Sus scrofa: one gene and its partner. The protein of the gene in region 2 purifies or fractionates together with the protein of the main gene of each other region. This does not show direct contact. Links are inferred from orthologs where the notes say so. Each region holds a gene or a part of one and is shown on either strand. Other genes may lie near its edges.

Region 1 (4,741 bases), on a different chromosome or scaffold from region 2:
AAGAATTTATATAAGATGGGTGTTATCGGATCCTATAAGCCCAGTAAAGTGTTTATAGCATTTTTACTATTTCAAGTTCAATAAGTCTCTTTCGGCTTTCTATATCTTCTTGAGTCAATTTTGAAATTTATATTTGGAGAAAACTATCTATTTCTTCTTATTTTGTATATTTATTGGGATAAAGCTCATTTTCTATTATAATTTTAAAATCTAGTATTTAGTATTAAAAGCTGTGGCAAGATTGAAGGAAAAAGGCATACATGATAATATGATTTTATTTCGCCTTTTTTCTTGCCAATCTTACACAGCTTTTAATACTATTGATACCAGAGAACTGCTGTTGCTTGAACATTGTTAACTCTTAGTTTGAAGAGAAAAAATACGGTGAATTCTTGGAAATAGAGATTGATGTACTTGGATGTTAATTCTCAACAAAAATTCTAAAATTGCTAAATTTCATCATTAAAAGCATGTCCTTGAAAATCTAAACAAGAAGGTAGTAAAACTAGAAAGCAACAGTAACTTTAGTACATGTTATACCAAATCTATATATTTCTTTTTGTTTGATAGAGTTACTTCCTATTACTTCTGAATGCTCTGAACACTTCAAGAAAATTTCAAAGCATCTCAGATAACCTGTGGACTAGATGAAGAAATGTGGGATAGGTGACAGGCAGTACTTGAGGTAGATTGTTTATAATTCTTGGAATGGCTATCCTCAAAGAATAATGATTAATGGGACAAAATGAACTGTGGAAGACCTTTATCCTTATCCCATTCAACATTTTCATTATTAAGGATAGAAAAAGTTTGTTTTATCAGTTTTGCAGATGACACAAAGCTGGGATATCAGCTAATATGCTAGAATTAGCACACAAGAACTGAGCAAGCTAGAAAAATGGGTTGCAATGACTAAGATACTGAATAAGGATAACAGTAAAGGCCTGTACTCAGACTTAAAAAATCAGGAGTTCCCACCATGGCTCAGTGGAAATGAATCTGACTAGTATTCATGAGGACAGAGTTTCACTCCCTGGGCTCGAACCGTGGGTTAAGGATCCGGCATTGCTGAGAGTAGTGCAGGTTACAAATGCGGTGTAGGCCAGCGGTTACAGCTCTGATTTGACCCCTAGCCGGGGAACCTCCATATGCCCCCGGTGTGGTCCTAAAACAGACAAAAAAAAAAAAAAAAAAAAAAAAAAAATCAATCACATGAAGAACGGTTTAGATCAGGGATTGGGAAACTATTGCCTATAAGTCAAATCTAGCCTGACACCTGTTTTTGTATGGCCCATCAGCTAAGAATGCTTTTTACATTTTAAAATATTTTTCAAAATCAATATAGTATTTTGTGGCACATGAAAATCATATGAGATAGGAAATTTGCAGCTTTGTGTCAATGAGTAGGTTTATTGGAAATGGCCATGCTCATTCATGTATATATTGTCTGTGGCTACTTTTGTGCTATAGTGACAGAGTTGAATGTTTGTGACAGACTCATAAAGCCTAAAATATCTATTATCTGGCCCTTTAGAGAAAAACCTTGCCAATCCTTCATCTCTATGTGTAAAATATAGAGGATTAGTTGATTGCAAAGTCACTATAAGGCAAAGGAATGTTATTTTAGATTATATTATTGGAGTTAAGAAGGAACCACCTTCTATCGAAATCTTTGAAAACCAACTAAGGGCCAGACACTGCACTAGTAATGCAAAGATACTATGTCGTCACCTTTGACTACAGTAAATCTAAGACAAAGATGGTGACCAAGGCTTGGTTTTTGCCTTCAAGCTCAGTGTCAAGGAAGATGGACAACCATGAAACTAGTAACTTAGTATGTTACATGCTAATAGTGAACCACACCTAGAATACTCTGTTCGGTTCCAATTAGCATATTTTAAGTAAGACACTGTCAGGCTTTACATTGTTCAGAGGAGTGCAAAAATTTCATGATGATATATAAGCTACATTAAATGGAGGAAGTTGAAAGAATATTGTTTCAAGGAGAGATAATTTAGTGAGAGAAATGTGACTACAAGTTTTAACATCACAAGTCTTCAAATGTAAAAAGTATTAGAATTTTTCACTAATAACTGATGATAATAACAGGGAGAAATGCACTCAACAAATATGAATTCCAGAGTTCTCTGTGGTGCCATGGATTGAAGATTTGGCATTGTCACTGCAGCAGCTTGGGTTGCTGCTGTGGTATGGGTTCGATTCCTGGCCTAGGGACTTCCACATGCTGCAGGCATGGGCAAAATAAATAAACAAACAAACATGAATTTTAAGCTGGATGACATCATAGATATAAGAAATTTCTAGCAAAGAGAAGATTTTTAATCTTTTCCAATCCTGGAAGTGTACAAGAAAAGGTAATAACCTATGAAAGAAACTAAAGAAAGAATTCTTGCACTGGGGTTCCTTTAGAATGACTTGAATTCTAGGAAAGGTAGATTAGGAGCAGATAATACAAATACTTGAAAGTCAGGTAAAGAGAGTAGGCTTTAGCCTATAGTTCAGTGGTTCTCAATTGGACTGGTGGTGATGCCTTAGATGCCTTATCTTGTCCCAGTGCCATTTATCCACCCTTTCACCTCCAGTTCGCATGTCCTTTCTTTCCGCAAACCTCTCTGCGCCAAGTCTTCAGTTCACCTTCTCCCCGACCAGCCACTAGCTTCTGGTAACTCTTTGATTCCTCAAACCCTGTCCCATTACATCATCCACCGGGAACGTGTGTAAATTCGAGAAGCGCCATCCTCCCTCTCCCCAGTGCCAGCCAGGGCCTATAGCTTGGCATATCACTTGAAAGGCAATCAGCCCTGACCCCACATTTTCCCCTCCATCCCAAACCCTTCTCTTCAGTTCAAGGCCATTTCGAGACCTCCATGGGCCCTGAACATTCATAACTTTGGACTCCTGGCGCCAAACTAGATAAAATATCTTAAATGAACCCACATCTTATGTCAAACATAATTCTGAAGTATGAACTTACGTTCCAGTGGATAGGTTTCATTTTCATACACTTATAATTTCGACTTGGAATTGATTTTCCCTTTGTGTGTGGGGGGGTCAAAACATTTTATCAGGCCTAGAAAAAGTTCGTGCGCTGGTTCTCTGGTACTTCGAAGAGACCTGCGTCAGACTTCCCCCTTCCCGGTCCCCTCACGAGCCAAGCCTCAGCGACCCCGGCGATCCGCCTCCGCGCCGCGCGTCCCCTCACAACCCCCGCCACGCTCGCTCGCTCGCTCCCTCCTCCACCAGCATCCCCTTCTGTCGGCCTCGCCCAGCCAGGGTCCCACCTCCCAAGGTGCCGGGCGAGCCACAAAGCCCGGATCGCCTAGGCCTCCGGTTAGCGACAAACGCGCTTACAGTCGAGCTTCGTTTCTCTCTACCGCCCTGCCCACAACTCCGCCTCTCCCCTCTCCGCCGGCCTCCTAGGAGTTCGCTGGCTGCTGCGCAGAATCTACTCCCGGCTCTATGCTCCACCCCTCCCTCAGACCCCGCCCCGTCTCGCCCCACCCTGCGTTGCGCGCCCCATTCCCCAGCCCCGCCTCCCTCCCGCCCAGCCTCCTCGAGATCCCCAGAGCGCTCAGCTCTTCTCCCGGCCTGATGCTCCACCCTCCCATAGGCCACGCCCCAGGCCACGCCCCCGTGATCTTTGGTTCGCGGGCTGAGTTCCGCAGCCCCGCCCAAGGGCCTGTCCCTAGGTAAGCCCTGAGCACGCGCTGCCTACCCTCCCCCAGCTCAGCTTGATCCCAGGGGCCTGCGAGACCCAAGAGACCCGCCTTCGTGCGAACACGCACGCGCAGTCCCCACCTCTCCCGGCTCGAGCCCTAGGCCCTCAGGTCGCCAGCCCGGGGCCCGGTCCCGCCTCCAGGCCCGGCTCCGCCCCTCATGCCGGGTCTCGCGCGCAAGCGCGCCTCCCCTGCCCAGTCTTCCCTCCGCCCCCGCCGGCCCCGCGGTCCCAAGGCGCCAGGTCGCCCCCAGCCCCCTCCCTCCTCCCGCCCACTCTCTGTCCCACCCTCCTCAGCTTTGTGCCGGGGGCGCGGAGCCGCTTCCCCCCTCTGCCGCGCCGCGGGAGGAGGGACCTGCCACCGAGGAGCTGCCGGGCTGCCCCAGGCGGGGGTACAGGTAGGTGGCGACCGCGGGCTGGGCCTCTCACGTAGCCCAGGGCTGAGAATGGGGCGGGTGCGGGGTTTGAGGGAGGGGTGGGATGGGGGAGGGGGAGATCGAAAGGGACGAAGCTGGGGTGTGGTTGGTGAAAGATGTGGAGATGAGGATATAGGGGTGTCAGAGGTGGGTTTAAGGGTAGAATTGGGGTGCTGGGGGAGTGTATGAGGGCGTGTGAAGATTGGGGTTCAGGCCTGGGTGGGAGAAGGGAGAAGGATTAGCTTGGGTGAATTTGAGGAGGGGCATGCGTGGGAATTTCGACCGAGGTGGAGGATTGCAGTGCTGGCGAAGGAGGGGAAGAGGGAATCGGATTGAGGGGTGCCAAGAGGGAAGGGTCTAGGACTGGAATGGGAGAAGGGGTGGGGTCTTGGGGGTAGGGAGGAAAAGTTGGGGCCGCGGATTGTGAAGTTGGGCTTTAGTGAGGCGTGAAGAAAGGAGATCTTGAAGGTTGAGGGCAGAAGACAAGGAAAAGATGGAGAGATTGGGGTCCTGGGAGAGGGAATCTCAGCGAAGTGGGAGGAAGGGGCGAATACATGGTGAAGGACAGAGCAGGAGTGCATAGGGATGA
Region 2 (4,046 bases):
AGAGCCACAACAACTCGGGATCCGAGCTGCATCTGCGACCTACACCACAGCTCACAGCAACACCGGATCCTTAATCCACTGAGCAAGGCCAGGGATCGAACCCGCAACCTCATGGTCCCTAGCCGGATTCATTAACCACTGAGCCATGACGGGAACTCCGAACCTGTGCTTTTTTGTCTAGTTCCAGAAAAAAAAGAAAAAAACCCCAGCCAATCCCATATCGAGTTACTCTTTCTGCGGTTAGTCTGTCCGTGGGAATCAATAAAAGGTCCTTGTCATTGCAAGTAAAACACATAAGCGAACTAGGCCTCTGTAGTCATGCCGGGTGGTTTTGCCGTGTCTGCACGTTGAGCATCCCAGAAACCAAACAAATCCACCTCCGTGCCTGTCTCGTGAGACTGAGTTAAAACACCAAAGACTCAGGAGTTGGGAGGAAGAAAGGAGACACGGTCAGACCCAGAAGTGGTGGCAGTGCAGGTGCTGGGGAACCTCGGGGGCAGGTGAGCGCTGCATCTCAGCCCTCGGCTTCCTCCTCTTTCCCAGAAAGGACACACGGCCTTTTCGGGGCTGGGGACGTGGGGGGGAAGCTCCGGCGTGAATACGGCGGAGCGTTTGTGGAGCAGCGTGGCAGGGCGGCCACTCCTCCCTGCAGCTGCTCCCAGCGCATCCCGCCGGATGAGTGCTCCTAGGAGTCACGCAGTGTAACCTTGATTTCAGGCCTTGGAAAAGGCAAAAGATGCGGGAAGAAAAGAGCGAGTGCTGGTGAGACAACGAGAACAAGTTGCAAGTCCAGAAAACATCAACTTGGACTTAACTTACTCGGTGAGTATCAAGGACCGGTTGGGGGGTTATTTTCGCTGGAATTTGTGGATTCCAGGAGCCCCCTTTTTTTTTTTTCCTTTTTAGGGCCGCTCCTGTGGCATGTGGAGGTTCCCAGCCCAGAGGCCGAATCGGACCTGTAGCCACTGGCACCACCAGATCCAAGCCGGGTCTGCCACCTCCATCACAGCTCATGGCCACACCGGATCCTTTAACCCACTGAGCGAGGCCAGGGATGGAACGCGGGTCCTCGTGGATCCCAGTTCGGTTCATTACTGCTACTCTACGATGGGAACTCCTGTAGTCAGGGTCTTGGCACACTTCGCCGCAACGGGAACTCCTGTGGAGTCACTTAGCAACATATGAAGTGCTTGTGAACCCACCATCCAGTGACGGCTGAGGAGTGCTAACGTGTACTGCTCAGGGTGATTGCTTTAATAAAAGATTTGGGTTTTGTGGGGCTTTTTAATTTTTTTTTTTCTTTTTAGGGCCACACCTCAATTTTTAGATATTTACTGTTTATGGCTAATATTTTAAAATTCCATAGGCTCTTTGGATTTGGGGATGGTGTACAGTGATCATTTTTTCCCTCTAGGAACATAATTTACTCTAACAATTTGAATTATAAATGTGTAGGGAGTCCCTGTTGTGGCTCAGTGGCAATGACCCCAACCAGTATCCATGAGGATGCAGGTCTGATCCCTGGCCTCACTCGGTGGGTTAAGGATCCACCGTTGCCGTGAGCTCTGGTGCAGGTCACAGATCTTGCATTACTGTGGCTGTGGCGTAGGCTGGTGGCTGCAGCTCCAACTTGACCCCTAGCCTGGGAACCTCCATATGCCTTGGGTGTGGCCCTTAAAAAAAAAAAAAAAAGACCAAAAAAATTACAAATGTGGATATGAAGGAATACTGTACAAACTAAAATTTAAGATATTTCCACACGATGTTTAGTTTATATCTACAAAGAGAATTTGGTCCACTCTCTTCCTTTTTCGTTTTATTACCAGCAGGATTAATAATACACATGTATGCTTTGCGGGTCTTCCTGAGTTTAGAGGAAAGCAGACGCATTCATTAGAAAGACTCCGTGGAAGACGAGGCGAGGGCAGAGGACAGCCTCGCTGTCTCCATCGTGTCGCGGCCGTGTTCACACGCGGGGCGCGTTTTCTGTCCTGCCCTTCCGGGCGAGCCGGGTGTCTTGACAGAGGCAGCCGACTTTTGCAGTGTTTTCATTTCTAGAAGGATCACAGGCACCGGGGGCTAAAATGATTGTTAGCTGTCACTTTGCGGTGTTTCTCGCGTAGGTTCTCTTCACCTTGGCCAGTCAGTATTCAGCGAATGAAATGTATGCCGAAGCGTTAAACACGTATCAAGTTATCGTGAAAAACAAGATGTTTAGCAATGCAGGTAGGTGTGTATATACAGTCAGTTTTTCCACTAACTCTGGTTCTTCTCTAGGGGTGATTTCTCACGTCCTCATTTTATGCTCTGTTATCATGAAATCATCAGTGCTCTAAGCAATCCGTATTTGTGGTAGAGGTGTCCTGCCTAGAGGCCCTGTGGTAATGAAAGTGCACACCGACGCGGAGGAGGAGACACAGCAGGCCTATGACACACTGCCCCGTAGCCAGTGGACAGCAGGTCATGTAGCGCATGGGACGAGCTGCGGCAACACCGTCGGACGTGTTTCCCTTGTAGGGTTGAGCCTCAGGAGGCTGTTGTTTGTGTTTAGCATTTATATTCTGTAAGGTTTTTGTTCTTTTTTTTTTTTTTTTTGGTCTTTTTGCCATTTCTTGGGCCATTTCCGCGGCATATGGAGGTTCCCAGGCCAGGGGTCGAATCGGAGCTGTAGCCACCGGCCTATGCCAGCGCCGTATAGCAACACGGGATCCAAGCCTCGTCTGCGACCTACACCGCAGCTCACGGCCGCGCCGGATCCTTAACCCCCTGAGCAAGGCCAGGGATCAAACCCGCAACCTCATGGTTCCTAGTCGGATTCGTTAACCACGGAGCCATGACAGAACTCCAGTTTTTGTTCTTTTTACAGCCACACCTGCGGCACGTGGAGGTTCCCAGGCTGGGGGTCCCATCAGAGCTGCAGCTGTCAGCCTGCACCGCAGCCACAGCAGTGCAGCTCCAAGCCGCATCTGTGACCTATGCCGCTTGCATCCGCGCTGGATCCCTAACCCACTGAGCGAGGCCAGGCATTGAACCTGCAACCTCATGGTTCCTGATCAGATAGGTTAAGCACTGAGCCACGACGGGGACTCCACATTTCCAGTTTTATGATGTAACCCTATTGCTTTCTAGCCGTATTTCCAGGAATCTGTCATAAGTTCCATTTCCTTGTAGAAGTTTCCTGTGCAGATATTTGAAAATAGTGTAACTATTTTAAAGTGAGAATTTTTAGTTAGTGTCTGAAACTTTATATCTTGAGAAGAACTTCAAAAAATATGAGTTAAGGTCATGTAAAATTTCTTAGGAAAAGTGAAAAAAAGGATATTATGTATTTATCATTATTTTTTTTAAACCAGGACGGTTGAAAGTGAATATGGGAAATATTTATTTAAAGCAAAGAAATTATTCCAAAGCCATTAAATTCTACCGAATGGCCTTAGATCAGATTCCAAGCGTCCATAAAGAAATGAGGTAAGTTTGTAAAATTTACGTGCTATTCTTCAGAAACAAGGTCATGGTCCTGACGTGTCGCCAGTGGGTTGACTGCTTGGAGGTGTCTCTTGGAGAAGTGCTCAGTGCGTGTCTTAGTCCGGTGTTTTCTCCCCTGTGACTGCTCGCGGGCGTTGTTTATATGATGCCAGGTTAAAAGTTAAAGGCATAGACCGTGATCAGTCGGAATAAAACCAAGCTCCTGGACCTGTACAGGGAATGACCCCGCAGGCCATTAGCGCCCAATCCAGTTTCCTGCCCGCACCAAGTCGAACAGCAGTCCCTGGACCATTCCAGAGTGCAAGGCTAGAAATTAAATATCCCCAAAAGAGGATGCTGGGATATTTTCATTCTTAAAATATTTCCAGCACAGAAACAGCGAGTTACCTTGTCGTCTGATAATAACTGTGGGAACGGAGGAGGTTTCCAGGGGATCTACTGGTCAAAATTTCTCGTAGGTTCAGTATGACACCTCTGTGAAAGTTAAGTTATTTGTATTGTTTTTGTGGTTTTTTTAGGTCTTTTGTCTTTTTAGGGCCACACCCGCAGCATATGGAGTT

What was found.
Region 1: the proteins of IFT88 (region 2) and HSPB11 purify together in Homo sapiens (affinity purification with mass spectrometry; 3 studies listed by BioGRID and IntAct, with this or other methods). This does not show direct contact. The link is inferred for Sus scrofa from reciprocal best matches to the Homo sapiens genes IFT88 and IFT25.

What each region holds. Positions count from the first base shown.
Region 1 is NC_010448.4:158,337,316-158,342,056, reverse strand, and holds the start of HSPB11 (intraflagellar transport protein 25 homolog), read right to left. Parts: upstream 3,270-4,741; 5' UTR 3,023-3,269; coding exon 2,996-3,022; intron 1-2,995. UniProt on the Homo sapiens protein: Component of the IFT complex B required for sonic hedgehog/SHH signaling.
Region 2 is NC_010453.5:963,593-967,638, forward strand, and holds part of IFT88 (intraflagellar transport protein 88 homolog), read left to right. Parts: intron 1-717; coding exon 718-822; intron 823-2,123; coding exon 2,124-2,226; intron 2,227-3,353; coding exon 3,354-3,468; intron 3,469-4,046. UniProt on the Homo sapiens protein: Positively regulates primary cilium biogenesis. Also involved in autophagy since it is required for trafficking of ATG16L and the expansion of the autophagic compartment.